3 linked regions of the Drosophila melanogaster genome follow. The protein of the gene in region 1 purifies or fractionates together with the protein of each later gene. This does not show direct contact. Each region holds a gene or a part of one and is shown on either strand. Other genes may lie near its edges.

Region 1 (7,646 bases):
TCGGCATGCTTCAACGGGATGAGAATCGAAAACAGCAGGAGGACCAGGAGCAGGCGCGCCAGGATGCCCAAAGTCACATCTATTCGAGTCCTGTCTACGATGAGAAGCCGCCGGCGGTGAAACTCCTATCCGCCGCCCTAGACTTGGATGCCCAAAAATCCCAGGCAAACAATGATGACGATAATAAGCCCAATCTTATTTCGCACCAAGAGTTCAAACAACAGCTGCAGGAAGCTATTGCTTCGCGGCAACCAAACCAGGTAGGTCCTACAAAAAGTCAACCAAAATTAATCAATTTGTATCAGTTGAATCACCTAATAGGGCTAGAGAATCTTTAATTGTCCATTTCTGTACTGCCTTGCTCTCATTAATCCTCAGACAATCGAATATTGTACCAAACACATTTTTTCTTCTGTGCAGGTGAATGGCACTAAGAGTGGGGCCACCACTTTGGACTCCAGGATCAGTCGTAAACAGCGCTGTCCACCGGAATTTATTAAGTACAAGGAGGGCAGCGAGGGTGGAGGCAGTGGCTCATCGCTTTCCTCGAAAGATCGGCGCAAGCGCAAGGCGAGCAATGAATGCTGCTCGGCATTTCCACTGCAAATAGTGTTGGGCACTCTCCAGTTGCTCCTGGCCATATCGCTGGTGGCCCTGGGATCACTTCTGATCGTCCGAGAGGCAGCGCTCTCACTGGCGGGATGCGGCATCTGGACGGGATTGATAGCAGCCGTTACGGGCTCCCTTGGAGTGGTGAGCATGCGCAAAACCCAGACAGCGTTTTTGGCCCTCAGTTTGGTCTGCATCGCCAGCAGCACCCTGGCTCTGGCTATTTCCGGCGTGGGATTGTCAAGGGACCTCAACAGGATGGCGGAGCAAAAGGGTGAACAGGTAAAGCCGGGCTCTTCGCATTGAGGCATGTTTTTTTAATGGTTTCATCCATTCTAGTTCGACTTGATCGATACCAACAGCGAGGTTTCCGCTGCCTGCGGCCTAATTTTTGCCCTGTTTCTTCATTTTGTGGTCAGTATTGTATCCGTCTATCGTTGCGCCCTTCAGATTTGCACTAAGTAAGTAAGCTACTCCTACTACTCCTACTTTTATATATGAAAAGTGGTTGTTGTCCACTTTTGAAGCAATAATAATACTGAATCTATAAGCACAATGTTTTTTTTTTTATTGTTTTTAAAAGCGCTTGTACGATATCCATTAGTTTTTTACCAATTGAATTTGGAATGTTGCGGCTAATATAAGTAAGTAAGTCTGCAAAACCGTTGTATTTATTTAGCAAAGTTTCCGGAAATCAATATAAAAGGGATATAGAAATTTATAATAACGGTTTTTAGACGGTTTACACAAGATAACTTGTTTCGTGACGACGTTTTCGTAATGAATTGGTATTTTTCGCGTTTGGTATATTGCTAGACACGGTCACACGGGCCAAATCATTCTCAAATAAAACTATATTTATATGTTTTTTTTTTTTTAATTGAGTTATATAGACTTTTAAAACCGAAAGAATGTATTAAAAGTGTAAACAAAAATTTGCTGAATACGCACAGTAAAAACATCGGCTGCAAAAAGTAAATCGATGTTTTCGGAAAACTGAAACTATCGATGTAATCGATGGTAACATCGATTTTTTTGCAGCTCTAAAAAAACTTTATTGTGAATGTGTAAATAATAGTGATAAGAAGCAACACAGCTGTGCGGATTGCGAAGCGGATAGTAAAGCAGACGGCGTACGAAACGTGGGCGCATTAGGAAAGCGCTGCTTGTTGGCCGTAGGAGCAGCAGGGAAACCAGAGAAATCCGGAGAGGCAACAGCGCAGTCGACTGCGACGCCCACGCAGCGGAAGTAATAAAAAAGAAAAGTGAAATCGGAAGTAGGGAGAGTTCGGTGGAGGAGGAGCAGCAGGAGGAGTTGGAAACGCAGGGGGAACTCGGGCTCTAGCATTGTGCATCAGGATCTGGAAACAAAGGAACCGCTAGGAGCAGTTGCCTCACAACGCTAGCAGCCACCGAAGTCATGCCGCTGGCCGATTCGCAAAAGGATCTCCGCCAGCAGCCTCAGCAGCAGCAGCAGCAGCAGCATGTGTCCTCCACCAGCAGCAGCAACAATGCGGAGCAGCAATGCAGCAGCAGCGGATTGGGTCTGCAGCTGCGCCAGCGCATGCAAATTACCTCGTCCGGCTGCAGCAGCCTGGCGGTCACGCCCATGGAGCACACGCCCACCGAGGACGATGAGAGTGGCGGAGGCAACAGCGGTGTCACTTCCTCGGTGACCACTGTGACATCATCGCAACGCCGCCAGCAGCTGCAACAGGTGCAACAGCAATCTGCTCTGCAAGCGGCCCTCGAGCAGCATCACATCTCACCAACAGCAGACTTGGATTCCGCTAGGAAAAGGCCGACGCATCGAACCTTGTGCCCGCCGCCAGAACTTATGGAGCTGAGTGATTCCGAGTCCCAGGGAGGCGTGGAAACTGGCGGTAGGAGAGAAGGGGCTACTGGGCGAAGTGCACCTGATTTAGAAGACACCGAGCCCCTATATGAAACAGAAAACGAATTCGAGCTTAAGGAAGTCATCAAGGAGGGTCACGACAAGGCCGATCCTTCCCAGTTCGAGCTCCTACGGGTTCTGGGCGAAGGTAGCTTTGGAAAGGTGTTTCTAGTGCGAAAGATCATAGGCAAAGATGCAGGAACACTCTATGCCATGAAGGTGCTCAAAAAGGCCACCCTAAAAGTAAAAGATCGCGTAAGGAGCACAAATGAACGAAAAATACTAGCGGACGTGGGTCATGCTTTCATCGTACGTCTTCACTATGCCTTCCAAACTCCCGGAAAACTCTACTTGATACTGGATTTTCTTCGTGGCGGTGATCTGTTTACCCGTCTATCCAAAGAAGTAATGTTTACGGAAGAAGATGTCAAGTTCTATTTAGCGGAACTGGCGCTAGCTATGAATCACCTACACACATTGGGCATTATCTACAGGGATCTGAAACCGGAAAATATTCTACTGGACGAGCATGGCCATATAGCCTTGACGGACTTTGGTCTATCCAAGCAGCCTTTGGATGGCTCAAAAACATATAGCTTTTGTGGAACCGTAGAATACATGGCGCCGGAGATCGTGAACCGAAAGGGACACGATTTTGCCGCTGATTGGTGGAGTTTCGGGGTGCTCATGTACGAAATGTTAACGGGGAATTTACCCTTTCATGGCCAAACCCGCCAAGAGACTATGAATCAGATCCTTAGAAGTAAGCTGGGCATGCCGGAGAATTTGTCGCCAGAGGCGCAATCCCTGCTACGTGCTCTCTTCAAAAGAAACCCCCAGAATCGTTTGGGTGCGGGTGCCCAAGGAATTCTGGACATCAAGGCGCACTGCTTTTTTGCCACCATCGACTGGGTGAGATTAGAACGAAAGCAGGTGCGTCCGCCTTTCATACCGGCGGTTAGCCGTGACGATGCCTTTTACTTTGATGTGGAGTACACCTCAAAGTCCCCCAGGGATTCTCCGGGTGGCCCGATCTCCGCATCTGCCCATGAGATCTTCCGCGGGTTCAGCTTTGTGGCTCCTGTCCTTCTGGAAGGTCAGTGTGCTGGCTCGAATATGTGCTCCACCAGCGCCAGTCCTCTGCATAGTATAGCTCCTATTCCTGCTGCTCCAGTGGGAGCCCCTCGAACATTACCTGGTGTTCTTCCCGGAAACTTCCATGCGGAATATAATCTACTGCAAGAACTGGGACGTGGAACCTTTTCAGTTTGTCGGTTGTGCGAGCATCGAGCCTCCAAGAAACATTACGCAGTAAAAGTAATCGAAAAGGCAGCTGTGGCCGCAGCATCCACATCCACTTCTGCCGATTGTTGGGAGGAGGTGGAGATTATGCTGAGGTACGGCAACCACCCAAATATCGTCACTCTGTACTCTGTTTACGAGGATGCGGGGTCCGCATATCTTGTGATGGAGCTGCTTAAGGGTGGCGAGCTTCTCGATCGGATACTTGCCGTGGGCCAGATGTGCGAGAGTGAGGCCAGCGCGGTGTTAAGGACAATTGCATCTGCGGTAGCATATCTCCATGAACATGGCGTGGTCCATCGAGATCTTAAGCCTTCAAATATGATATATGCCAGTATGCGGCAAACTCCCGAGACCCTAAAGCTCTGCGATTTGGGTGAGTGCGGAGCGGAACTAGTTAAATATATTTTATTATAGCCTTGCAGTAAATTTTCCAATTGCTGACAAACATGATTCACTTTAAAAGCTAAACTTTCGTAATTTTTAATTCCTTTAACTATTATTTGTTTTCTAAGTTACTTTGTTATTTGCAATTTTAAAGGTTTCTTTTCTCCAAACAGAAGGTTTTTCATTTTAAGATCTTATTTAGCCAAAGTTCCATCCTATTGCAATTGAAATCATTTGATAATATTTAAATTCAGAAAGCATTTATTTCTGCAAGGCTATATATTTTTCTGTGCGAGTATTTCTTGTTGGTAGAGCAGGAGTAACCTTCCGATTTCCGCTTAGGTTTCGCGAAGCAGCTGCGCGCGGACAACGGCCTCCTGATGACGCCATGCTACACAGCCAATTTTGTGGCTCCCGAGGTTCTAAAGAGACAGGGCTATGACCTGGCTTGCGACATCTGGTCGCTCGGTGTGCTGCTTTACATCATGTTATCCGGCCGGACGCCTTTCGCCAGCACTCCAAATGATTCACCGGACGTAATACTGAAGCGCATCGGATCAGGACAAATTGACTTCACAAGCAGTCGCTGGGCACTGATCAGTGTGCCGGCCAAAGAACTTTTGCGTCAGATGCTACACATAGTACCGGAGAATCGGCCGACGGCGGCGCGAATACTTGAGCACGACTGGCTGCGGGAGCAATTCGCCGGCGGCGTACAGCTTACAGAGTATGCGGTGGCGCCCGGATCCCAACTTTCGCTGGGCGCCCAGCAGCAGCAGCAGAATCACATCTCCATGGCCTTAAGAGGCGCTGTTGATGCCACTTTCCGGGCTATTGCCATACCCCAGGCGGCGAATGTGGGACCCGTAGAACTTTCCATGCTCGCCAAGAGGCGGGCCAAAGATCGAGCCAACCTGCACTCCTAATCCTGGGCGGCTGCATGGTGTCCGCGGCGCCAGGCCAAGCGGCAGATAGTCCGACTACTTTTCCGAATCTATAGTATTCTAATCCAATGCTGCTGTGCCAATCCGCGTCGTCTTGTCAAGGACAATGCGCAGAAGCTTGGTTCACATCCACAAACGCTGGGCAATCCTCGCCAACGCTGCCGCAGCGCCAAGCTGCGTGTGGTTTAGGTTTTGGGGGAATCGGCCTAACCTAAAGTATTTGACAAGTGTTAATTATTTATTTTATATGAAAGCATGCCAATATGCCAAGGCCATAACGCACTGTGCGGGGCATCTATATACACATATATATAACTATACAAATACTGATATACATCTATATATAGCTATTTATATAACGAATCCTAAAGCAAGGGCCTAGAGAGCGCGTGTGAATGTGGCGCCAGGATCATCCCAGATGATTCCTGAAACCACATTATTTATCCCAAACTGGAAATTAAAAAAAAGCCTCTCGCCCAAGTTTACATATTTTTAATTAAATTAATCGTAGCTAAATTTTTCAACATCACCGTGTTATTGTTGCTTAATTAAATTAATTAAAATGAAAAAAAAAATGGAAAAAAGTATTAGCAAAACAAACAAAAATTAAGAATAAAAGCCGCAATCCTTTTATATAATAATAACTTTTTTCGCCAAACTATAAAGGAAGAACAAAGAACCCAAAAAAAACTGTGTAGAAAGATAAGAAAATCAAACCACAAGAGTTTCCACAATTCTTACTTGGAATGTCAATTTGCACAATGAAATATGAAACTAAGCAAAAGATAAACATAACTACCATATTATACAGAATGTGTACATAAAGCGGAAACTGTGCTTTTCGGGTTTATAAGGCAAAGGATATTAGAAAAGAGTATTTTATTAATAATTCCCTAAACAATAAAAACCGACGTTCTTTCCAACACTGCACAAGGGTGCATATTGTTATTTAATTGTAATTAAGAAACGTAAATCCTGCTAACTTGTCTTACAGTCGCGAAACGCACAGTTTAGTTGTAATAACGCCGGGGAAACAGTTGTGACAACATCAAATTGGGTTTCCATTTTGTTTGCTAACGTCTTCCAACAGAAATTATATCAAACAATATACCTTTTTGCGCTGTAACCAGATATAGAAAGTTCCGACTTACCATTGGATGATTTAGAACCGAAACCGCGATATATTCCATCATACTCGTACTGAATACAAATAGGATAGCGTCGTATAAACGACTTGGGTTAATGCAGAGAATTCCATTTGTTTGTGCTAGTTTCTCTAAAAACTGCACGATCATCAGTTCCCAACAACTTGTTTCGACTCTTCGAAGACAATTCCAATTTTGTTGTATTTTTGCCAAGGAAAACTTGTTAAAATTATGCTAGAGGGAAATATACAAAAAAAAAAAAAGAAAATACAAGCAAAGTGGAACGAAATTGAATAAATTATGTAGAAGAGCCATGTGAATCCTTAGAAGCTATGTATGCCACTTGAAAAGCAGAAGTTTCTTGTTTGCGAGCTTGTGTGTGTGCATAAGAGGCTGTGTGTGTGCTTCTTGTAAGTGCATGTGTGTGTGTGCTAAAGGATTATTGTGCTGTGCCACTACTGAACTTACTGCTACCAAAAATAAAACAATAACTTCATATACATATTTACACCACCTAAACAAGGTTAGTAAAACTTAGAAATTTTTTAAAAAAGGATAACATCCCTTGAATAAAACTGTATTTTCGTGGTGTTATTAAAAGGAGTTGGAGGGGGAAAATGGTATGATTATCCTAAAGTACATATATAATTAGCTAGCTGCGGAGGGAAAACAATGTGTACACATTGACATATAATATAGAAAATATTTAAGAAGGATCTTGAGATGAACATTTCGCCTAATAGTTGTCACGATAAACTTTTGCAAAATATGTTGCGTCTACAGCAATGATTTATACTTAATTACCTTGTTTTGAAATGACGACAACCAAATTGAAGGGATACGTCGTTTCCCTGCTTCGTTTTTTAACAGATTCATACACAAATTATAAAACGAAGTTGAGACAGGCAGAAAAAGAATTTTAGTCCACGGGCTGATGAGAAATCTAATCCAGCGATTAGATTAAAACTCATGTATACAAAAGTGGCCTACTATGATAAAAACTGTAATCATTTATCAATAATTCCGAACGGTCTCTTACAAAAATGTTCGGGTTGCACAAAAAGGACAGAGACAACAGATAGTTTAAGCATACAATACAAGCAACCCACTTTAAAGCCAACTCTCGACTAAATTCCCCAAGAACATACATATATATCTTAATCATATATATGAATGCGTGAATATATTTTCTTAGTAGATTTTAACAGCTTCCAGACTATACATACATTCAAATGATTGAATTCCGATATGAATCATTTAATTAATAAACATATTCAACGAAACTGATTCGAAATTATTGTTAAGTTGAATTTTTCAAACCAAGCAGAAGGAACCTAATTGAAAAACAAATAACCAATTCGAATT
Region 2 (4,773 bases), about 16 Mb from region 1:
CCAGTGGTTTCCCGGTTGTTAAATGCATATTAGAAAGAAGAATGGAAATCTTAACATATCCCAGAGCAGGCTTCATTGATGAATCCTATTGATGTTTATTTCTCGTCTCGTCCAAATTGGTATACACTACACGCTAGACTTAGTACTGGTAGCCGTCGGGTTGATAGGGCCGTGCGTAGGGCGTGGGTGGGAAGGGCACGGGCGGCGGACGCCAGTTGGTGGGCGGTGGTCTGGGCGGAGGAGCAGGCATGCCGGGCGGTGCCCATGCATTTGGTTGCATCATGCGAGGCGGCGGCGGAATGCCCATTGCTGGCGGCAGCGGCGGCTGTCCGCCGGTCATCGGTGGCAACGGAGGCGGCGGTATCGTAGCTGGGAACGGTGCAGGCTGGGGAACGGGCGGCGGCGGTGCTAGCATGCCCATATTGTTATTCGAAACGGGCACCACCGGCGGCGGCGGCGCCATCATGGGTGGCGGCATCATCTGGCCCGGCATCTGGGCCGGGATCTGGCCCGGCATCTGGGGCATCATGGTTTGCACCGGTGCATCGGCGAACAATTGATGCGGCCGGTCTGCATGGGTCGATGGATTCTGGGCGGCCAACAGGCGCTCCGCAGCCGAACCGTGACGCTCGCCCTTGTGATCCTTCTTGAAGGCATAGGACACGGAAATGGGACGGTTGCACAGGTACTGGCCGTTCATGGCGTCCATGGCCGCATCGCTGGCCTCGAAGCTGGCAAAGTTGATGAACGCAAAGCTCTTAGACTTGCCCGTCTCTGGGTCTCGCATGATCTTCGGCGTCTGCAGTATAACGCCGAAGGCGGAGAACGTATCGTACAGCAGCTTCTCGTCCACTTCCACGTCTAGGTTGCCAATGAAGATGTTGGCGCCGACGTCCAGGTTCTTCTGATGCGCCGACGCCTTGTTCACGCGAATGGGCTTGCCGTAAAGCTTGATCATGTTCATGATCTTTATTCCATAGTCGGCGTCTTCCTCGCTGAGGAACTCGACGAATCCATAGCCCTGGTGCATTTGGGTGACACGATCCTTGGGCATGTGTACGTTCACTGCAAGCATGACGATTAGGGAGCTGCTAGGCACTATACATGTGTGTCCGGGACTTACCCACTGGTCCTGCCTGGACAAACAGCTCCCAAAGCAGCGTTTCCGACACCTTGTCGTCAAGACCGCCGGCATAGATGGTGGCATCTGTGGAAGGAACGGAAAAGGCGGGTTAAAGCGTCTCCCAAGTGGTGCAAATGTGGAGTGGAGGTCAAACCCACCTTGGTTGCGTTCAGCAATTGGACCTGCCGCCATTTCGGAGCTATTTTTATAAACAAAACCAAAAACTAATTTTCGGCGTTTTCAACATGCAAAAATGCTCGCAACACAACCCTGAATATCGAAACAGCCTATCGATACCATGAATCGATATATATTCCACGATTTCGTTTTTATTGGCAATCGAAATTGATATCGAAATCGAATCAAATCGAACGGATATTAGAAAAAATACTAAATATAGACGAAGCAGAATAATTAAATATAATTTCAATAGGTTAAAATATTCACCTCTATTTTTTGAAAATAAAATGAAATATTTTAATAATAATATTTTAATTAAATGATAAACAGTTTTTCGGTTAATTGGAGTAACCGTATTTAAATTACTCAGGCGATATTTCGCCTCCCATGCCGTGCCATCCCTAATATCGATAGTTCGATTGGCCGCGCTGGCCAAGAACCCAACTCTAATTTTTATGTAATGTCACTTTGTTGTCGTTTGTTACAAGAAGCAAGGAAAATTCGTGCTAGAAACCAAAGAACCAAGACCCCAATATCCGTGCGCTGTGATGTGATAATCAACTGTGTGTAAATTATGAATTGTCATCAGATTTTGAGCGGCGCTTGCAATGCAGGCGACCGGTGCTTCGCCATTGGCTCCGTGGAAGGAATACCATTTACAGTAAGCACAGAGCCATCCCAATCCGAATCCGGATCGAATTGGGTGAAAATCGGTGGCGGAATGTGCACCATTATCGGCCCAACCAGCCGGACACGCCCCCCAACCCCCCCACGCACACTTGGTTCAAAAGGTTGAACCGTTTCCAATTGGAAACGGGGCATCATCATCACCATCGTCGTCATTCCAACAAGAACCGATCGGAGCACGTCTTTAATGTTTTTATTTACATATTTGCGTGTGTGTGGTGTGCGTGTGTGCGGTGTGTGTGAATGTGTGTTGAATTTTATATCGTTTTTTTTTGCCACACTTGGTGGTCAATTAAAAAATCAAATGCAAATGATGAGATAGAGAACTTTTCGTGTTTGCTGGCTGGCGCTGTGCAAAAATTCGATAACAACAAAGTGTGCAGCTCGAGTGTGTGTGTGTGTATGTTGTGTGGCACAACAAATACAACACAATGTTTGTTTTCACCTGCATTTACATACCTGGCCAGCAATTAATTACATTTTTATTTTTTTAAGGTCAAGTGCTGGCAGTAAACAAGCCGCACGCACACACACACACACACATGCGCCAGTTGCAGTGAGAGTGTGTGCTTGAAAGTATATACGCATGTATATATATATAAGTGCGAGTATGTGTGTGTGTATACCCTTCGATTGGTCAGGTGGCCTTTGATGCCCTAATTTCGCAGCTTGCAGGCTGCCCACCTTCCCCTTCCCACGAACCCTTTCTCTATGGCAGCACCCCCCGCCCCGCAACCCCTTTCGCCAACCCACGTCAATGGCAAATTGGAATTATAAACGGCCATAATAAAAAAACGTGAGCACGCATTTATAATGTGCCTTATTCGATCCCTATACTATATACTACCAAATACTCTTAGCAATCTGGCCATTTTCGTGTCTAAAACCTTTAACGGTAACAGGAAAAAGTTGAAGAGCTCACTATAAACTTCGCTATGTCAACTTCGAGTTTATAAACATTACACCCATTGAGACATGTGTACTATATGTTTACTCAGAATGTTTATCCGATGTAGAGAACAAGGTCTGTGTTTTCCTGCAAAAACCCAAGGAAGCATAATTAACTACTGTGCACATTTTGCCATTCTAATGAGAGGCCCCACGGGGCGTATGTGTACATTATATATATATTCTATATTCTACTATATTCTATTCTGTAATCAGCACCGCCGTTGACACAGTCCCCCGTTCACAGACCGACCACCAACCACCCAACACCCACCCACTGCCCACCGCCTTGCGCCATATCATTTGCCATCATTTCAATTTGTTTAATTTCGAGTGTTTGCATATGTGTGGATGTATGTGTGTATGCATATATTTATTTAGTATATGATCGGCACGAACACACTCCCCTGGCGCCACCTAGCGTTTGGAAGGGGAAACCAAAAATAATAAACTCATTAAAACCGCATTTAAAGTCAAATTTTAATAGTATAGCAATACTACAATAGGATACCGTAAAAAAATCACTGTTTATTTTCAGCAGGTAACAAAGTTTTATATAAAGTAATCTTATCCGCGGGAACACTAATGGGTTGGTAAGCGAAAAGTTCGGAAAACCCTCCATTGAAAAGTATCATCGGTGTGTTTACTTAATGGGTAATATTCTCAGTTAAACGCATAAACCCATCATAAGCTGACATTTAAAGCAATGGGAAAACCGGAAAGCAAAAAGCTAAATATAAACACGACAGAAAAGCAGAGTAGTTGAACCTTTTTATGTCAAAAAGTTAGCAGGTGTGTAGTGTGTAGTGACGAAGTTGTTAATACCCTTGTTTTTATGAAATGATGTTTTTATTCATTAACTAGCTAAATAAGGCTCACATTCCAATATCGCGATAAGCCATTGCAAACAGATTCTCTGTTGATATTCCCCATTTATCGCTATTGTAACTAAACGGGGTATCTGTAATCTCCCGCATCAATGAGCCAATTATAAAGATAAAGCCTGCTGACTCAACCCTTTACACCCGCACTAATGATCCTTTGCCACAGATCGTCATGCGGTAATGTTTTAGAGATAATTAACATGAATAGTGTTTCCACTATAAATAGTGTACCCCCTCCCTAGCCCACTCGAACAGGGTATTCAAATTTCTGGCCACGATAATGAGCATATCAGCGACAGCTCAACAAATAAATCAAACACACTTTAGCTAACCAGGTAACCAAACATGATGTGGCAAGAGCCTTGTCATCAGCCAGCCTGATAAGCCAGTTAACTGGACAGTTGGGGTATTGTTATCGATATAAAGCTATATACCCACCCGCCCTATATACACATAGCCACTCAAAAACAAATAACTGAGAAAACACATACCGATCGTATAACGCTTAGATTAACTGCAGTACTCACAAAATCCCCATTTCGCCCCTCCTATTATCAGGCCTACGCCGCCGGCTGCAATGTGGTCATCCTGGCAAGCACTTTCGAGCGCGTCCAGATCATTCCGGGCGCCAACCATGGCTATGTCAAGATATCCGCCCTGGACTGCAGCACCGATACCGGAAAAATAGCAGCAGCCTATGAGAATAAGATATGCATTTTTGAGCCCACGCCGGTGATTGAGTCGAGCAAACACAATACCCACTTTCTGGATTACAGGTAAGCTAGCGATGGTATTAAGAAGCCCAAAGACATACTAACTTATTTTTTCATACCCCCATAGATGGGTGCAAACGGGCTCCTTCACCAGCCACTCGAACGTGGTGACCCTGTCCTGGAATCTGGAGGGCACCCGCCTCCTCACTGGCGGCACCAACATCCAGCTGTGGAAGAG
Region 3 (4,933 bases), on another chromosome or scaffold:
CTCCGATTTTCTGGACAGAAACACGCCCATTTTCCGGGACGACGTGTGCTTCTTCATCTCCCAATCGGGCGAGACAGCGGACACCCTGATGGCGCTCAGATACTGCAAGCAGCGAGGAGCGCTCATCGTGGGCGTTACCAACACGGTGGGCAGCAGCATCTGCCGCGAGTCGCACTGTGGCGTCCACATCAACGCTGGACCCGAGATCGGAGTGGCCTCCACGAAGGCCTACACCTCCCAGTTCATTTCGCTGGTTATGTTCGCCTTGGTCATGTCGGAGGATCGTCTCTCGCTGCAACAGCGCCGCTTGGAGATCATCGATGGCCTATCGCAGCTGGACGAGCACATTAGGACTGTCCTCAAGCTGAACTCGCAGGTGCAGCAGCTTGCCAAGGAGTTGTACGAGCACAAGTCGCTGCTCATTATGGGCAGGGGCTTCAACTTCGCCACCTGTTTGGAGGGCGCACTGGTAATCCATTTGATAATTTGAGCTATAATTTAATCGAATCTCATTTATGCATCGTAATGCATGCATGGGAACGTAATGATGGAAAATAACCGATGTCAACAATTCACTTAACTTGTTTATTTGCCAAGTGCACTTAAATTAATTATTATGTTTGTCCCACGCTTCATGAGCTGAATTTAATCAATTAACTTGCTCATTGCAGAAAGTCAAGGAGCTGACGTACATGCACAGCGAAGGAATCCTGGCTGGAGAACTGAAACACGGACCACTGGCCCTGGTGGACAAGGAGATGCCCGTGCTGATGATCGTGCTGCGGGATCCGGTGTACACCAAGTGCATGAATGCACTGCAGCAGGTGACGTCCCGCAAGGGCAGACCGATCCTAATCTGCGAGGAGGGCGACAACGAGACCATGTCCTTCTCCACGCGTTCGCTGCAGATCCCGAGGACCGTGGACTGCCTGCAGGGCGTGCTCACGGTGATTCCGCTCCAGCTGCTGTCCTACCACATCGCCGTGCTCCGCGGCTGCGACGTGGACTGCCCCAGGAACCTGGCCAAGTCGGTGACCGTGGAGTAGGCGCCCCAACTATCTGGCTAACTGGCTCGCACCGTCTCAAGAATTCCATTTTAGTATCTGCCTGAGAAAAACAAAACAAACCCTAGCACTTAAGTTAAAATTTTCTGGTATTTTGTCGGATCAAAATCCGAACCCTTAACCCATTTGTGCTCCTTCTGGCTGAAGCCACATATGTTTAACCCCTACATTTGTAGCTGTACTGACCCTTTGTGTTGTGGACCCACTACTTTTTGTGAATGTGCAATTGAAATATAATTATTTCCAGTTTTTCTTTAAAAGTGTTTTGCTGCTTTCAATTAAAAATGGATTGGAAAATGTTTAACCAGTAAATTTGTTTGAAAACGGGAAAAACCAAACAAAGATCTATATGTACCTCACTTTACAAAAAATGCTTATCTGACATTAAACATTTGTTTCAAATGTTTAAAAAACGAGGGCCACGTCACGTTATTGCTTACGTTATGTTAATCACGTTGTAAATTTTAGAAAAAGAAAAATTACATATATATTTAATTCTGATAAAACTAAATAAAAATAAATTCTGATAAAAATAAATGATATTCCGAGCACTTAAGTAGTGTGAAATCGATAAGCCGCATAAATTTGAATGTCCTATTTTCAATTTCAAATCAAGTGGTAAATGGGGAAAAAATAAGTTTGTTCTCGAAAAGTAATTCTTTCTGGAAGATATTTCAAAATCATATTTAAAAACAACATTAAATAAATTAAATCAGTTGCGAGCCGGTTGGGACATCTCTATTAACCGTAGCTATCACATCGGTCGATATCTATCGCAACGCAACGCAAACGAATTGAACAACAACCCTGCTCTTTTTCTTTTGGACCCGTAGAACCACATGTCTGGTAACCGATTTTGATTTTCGTTTCGGCGGTATAATGCTCCAATTAATTGACTAATTGCGGTTAATTGACAAGACAAGTGAACGGCGCAAGTACGGTGCAACCAATAACGCAGCGAGTGTGTGTGCAATTGCGAAAAAACCCGATAAATAATATTCGTAACGTTCTGCCCAGCAGCGCGTGAGTGAGTGCGAGCGAGAGGCAGTGATTCGAGGTGCGTAGTGGTGCGAAAGTGTGTGTGCAAGGAAACCCGCAAAAGCAAAAGCAAAGCAACAATAACAACACACGCACGCACACACACACTTGTGTACGTGTTAACACGCGGAGCGGAAAGTGCGTAGTGAACATACGAAACGTACGAAACAAGAAGTGGGAGAGATAGCGGAATAAAATACAATTCTTGTTTCCATTTCAATCTCCTCTGGTGCGTATTCAAATCAATCTGAACCTTAACTTGTGTATGTGTGTGTGACCGCGTGCATCGTTTTGAAATTCGAGGCGAGCTGCAGTCGAAATCAGCTGTTTTAAAAGGCCCGACCAGGGCGGCACTAACAGCAATGCAGGCCGTTAGCCGAGTGCATTGGATATTGCATAATATTGGGTGAAGCGAAAACAGGGATATTGTGGTAGGCCACAGGGTATAATAAAACCAAATTGTAGCTATAAACGCAGTTTCTTTTATTTGCACCTTTAATTCGCTTCGATTTCCTGTCGTATTACCGGTTACGTTCAACGCCATGCCATTACGTTGTACTCCAGTTTGGCAAGTGGGCAGCTCGCTTTGCGGCAGCCCTGGTCGCTTAGCGTTGTGTTGCTGCTTCCTCTTCCTCTTGTGTGGGGCAAAAATCTAACCTCACTTCTTCTTCTTCTTTGGAACACTGCTGTGTGTGGCTGCTGCATAATAATATAATACCTCTCGATTCACGATTGGTCGTGCCTCGCAACGGATTTTCTCCGCTCGCCCAAACTGCAGTATATAATCGTGCAAAATCCGTGGCAGTAAATTCAATTCGCCGAGGAGCGTGACAGCTGAGGAAAATCGAGAAAACGGCCGCTGGGAGAGGCTTTTCCGATGGCCAGTTCCTAAAAAATCACCGCACTCCTCGGGAGGCTCTTCTGCAGTCCCACAAGAATAGTAATCCCCATTGCGAAAGCCCCAAGTTCAAAGTGCAGTGTATGTGCGTATGTGTGTGTGCTGTAATAGTTGCATTAAGTAAAGATGTAAATATTATTGCAGAAGGGCGAACTTGAGATTAATCGCCGTAATTGAGCAACAAACACCTCGCGTTCGCCCAACTCGCAATCTTGTTGGAAAATCCTAGTAGGCACAGTAAAGCTGGGCTTAGATGGCCATTCTTTAGTTTTAGTAAAGAGGTTTTAGTTTCCATTCCACTCTTTCTTTGCATTGGTATCAGTTTAATTTCAAAAGTCTATTTTTCTACGGCCAATAAGGCCATTAAAACTCGAGATGTTGACTTGAATTTATTAGCTCACTTAAAAGTTTAAGTTAATGCAAATTACTATACAAATTGCATTAGTATTGACCGCAGAATTGCCCTGAATAGTTCTATATGTAAATGACCCAAAACAGTCAAGCTTAGCTATAGTAACACTGCGTGGAAAAGTTATAAAATGACGTAATTGTAGTCTTTGGCCTGGATTTTCCTCTTGTTCCTACCAAACAGGCCTGTGAAAACTAATCCTTCTATTGCCAACCATTTCAGTTTGGAAGCCTATCTCTGGAGCCACCACATCCCGTTGAGCAGGCAAGGAAGCAGACAAGAGTTTCCCCAACCCGACAACGAGGATCAGCCGCTGACGTAGCCGGAGCAGGAGCAGCGAGTGTGCTGCCCACTCTGGAGAGGAAACCGGAGTCAAAGAAACAGCAGGAGTAGCAGCCGCAACTGAGGAGCATGTCCAGCAAGGAGGAGACGCCATCCACGGGAGGTGCCGCTCCTGTGGCCACTGTCGCCGCCTCGGGCAGCGCCACCACTTCCTACGCCAATGTGGTGCAGAACCTGGAGACCAAGAAGTCCGGCACCAGCAACACCACCACCACCACCGCCAGAGCCACCGTGGACAACAAAGAGAACCAGCCCAATCTGAAGAGCTTCAAGTCGTGGAGCGAGGAAGCCGCTGCCGCCGAGGCAGCCGGCGAATCGCCAATCGTCGGCAGCGTTAGCCTAGCCCAGACGGGTGAGAAGCGTGCCGCTGCCTCCGGTGGAGATAACACCGCCGAGAACTCATCGGAATTGGACGACAACAACGACTTCGTGCCGGTACTATCGCATCACCGCCGCGATCGCAAAAAGGCGCGCAAAGAGAAGCCGCGCGATCAGCAGCCGGCCGGAGGACGTGGCGATGGTCAGAAACCCCAGCAGGCTGGTGGCCGCCGCGTCCCCGGATCCTCCGACACCGAACGCAAGTCAGTGCGCCCACGTGCGCCGCGCGGCGGTAGTCCCCGCAAATCGGCAGCTGGAGCTGCTGGCGCAGCCGGATCCAATGCTGGAGCTGTGTCCTCCGCCGTTCCTGGTGGACCGAAAGTACACAAGGATCGCAAGGATACCTCGCCCAGTGCCAGCATCGAGGGAGCCGGCAGCAGCGGCAACGAGGCCAAGTCCGCCGACGGGGATCAGCAGGCGGGCGAGAAAGGCGCCGCTGGAGCAGCTCCGCCGCCCAAGCGATTCATTGCCGCCCCACCGCCCAAGGTCAACGCATGGAAGGTGAGTGATCAAATGATTGAATCTTTAAGTGATTGATTGTATTTTGGGGTATCTTGAATGGTAGGTTCATTAGGATAGGTTTTCATTAGAGTTGTTCAGGCATTGATTGGTATTCTTTGGATATTCCTAATTGGAAATCTTAATATATTCAAAAATCCAGAAGATTTAGAAGTGCACCGGAATAGAATTAGGTACATTTGCATTGACAAAAATTAGTTACTCGAACAAAACATTGGAAAATGCAAATGAAAAGCTTTGCTAAAATATAATCTAGTCAAAAGTCAATGCAAATATGCCTTAAAC

What was found.
Region 2: the proteins of S6kII (region 1) and Rbcn-3A purify together in Drosophila melanogaster (affinity purification with mass spectrometry, with the first as the bait; one large-scale study listed by BioGRID). This does not show direct contact.
Region 3: the proteins of S6kII (region 1) and larp purify together in Drosophila melanogaster (affinity purification with mass spectrometry, with the first as the bait; one large-scale study listed by BioGRID). This does not show direct contact.

The regions. Positions count from the first base shown.
Region 1 is NC_004354.4:22,528,322-22,535,967, forward strand, and holds the start of S6kII (ribosomal protein S6 kinase II), read left to right. Parts: upstream 1-1,642; 5' UTR 1,643-2,029; coding exon 2,030-4,181; intron 4,182-4,534; coding exon 4,535-5,118; 3' UTR 5,119-7,646. Other genes in the region: CG17600 (uncharacterized protein), read left to right, coding at 1-260, 421-891, 949-1,070.
Region 2 is NC_004354.4:6,252,453-6,257,225, reverse strand, and holds the start of Rbcn-3A (Rabconnectin-3A), read left to right. Parts: upstream 1-1,738; 5' UTR 1,739-1,877; coding exon 1,878-1,964; intron 1,965-4,380; coding exon 4,381-4,598; intron 4,599-4,662; coding exon 4,663-4,773. Other genes in the region: Spx (spliceosomal protein on the X), read right to left, coding at 140-1,065, 1,124-1,207, 1,282-1,315.
Region 3 is NT_033777.3:28,333,406-28,338,338, reverse strand, and holds the start of larp (La related protein), read left to right. Parts: upstream 1-1,898; 5' UTR 1,899-2,331; intron 2,332-2,797; exon of another isoform or gene 2,798-3,085; intron 3,086-3,631; 5' UTR 3,632-3,820; coding exon 3,821-4,630; intron 4,631-4,933. Other genes in the region: Gfat2 (Glutamine:fructose-6-phosphate aminotransferase 2), read left to right, coding at 1-469, 672-1,046. UniProt on the Drosophila melanogaster protein: RNA-binding protein that regulates the translation of specific target mRNA species downstream of the mTORC1 complex, in function of growth signals and nutrient availability.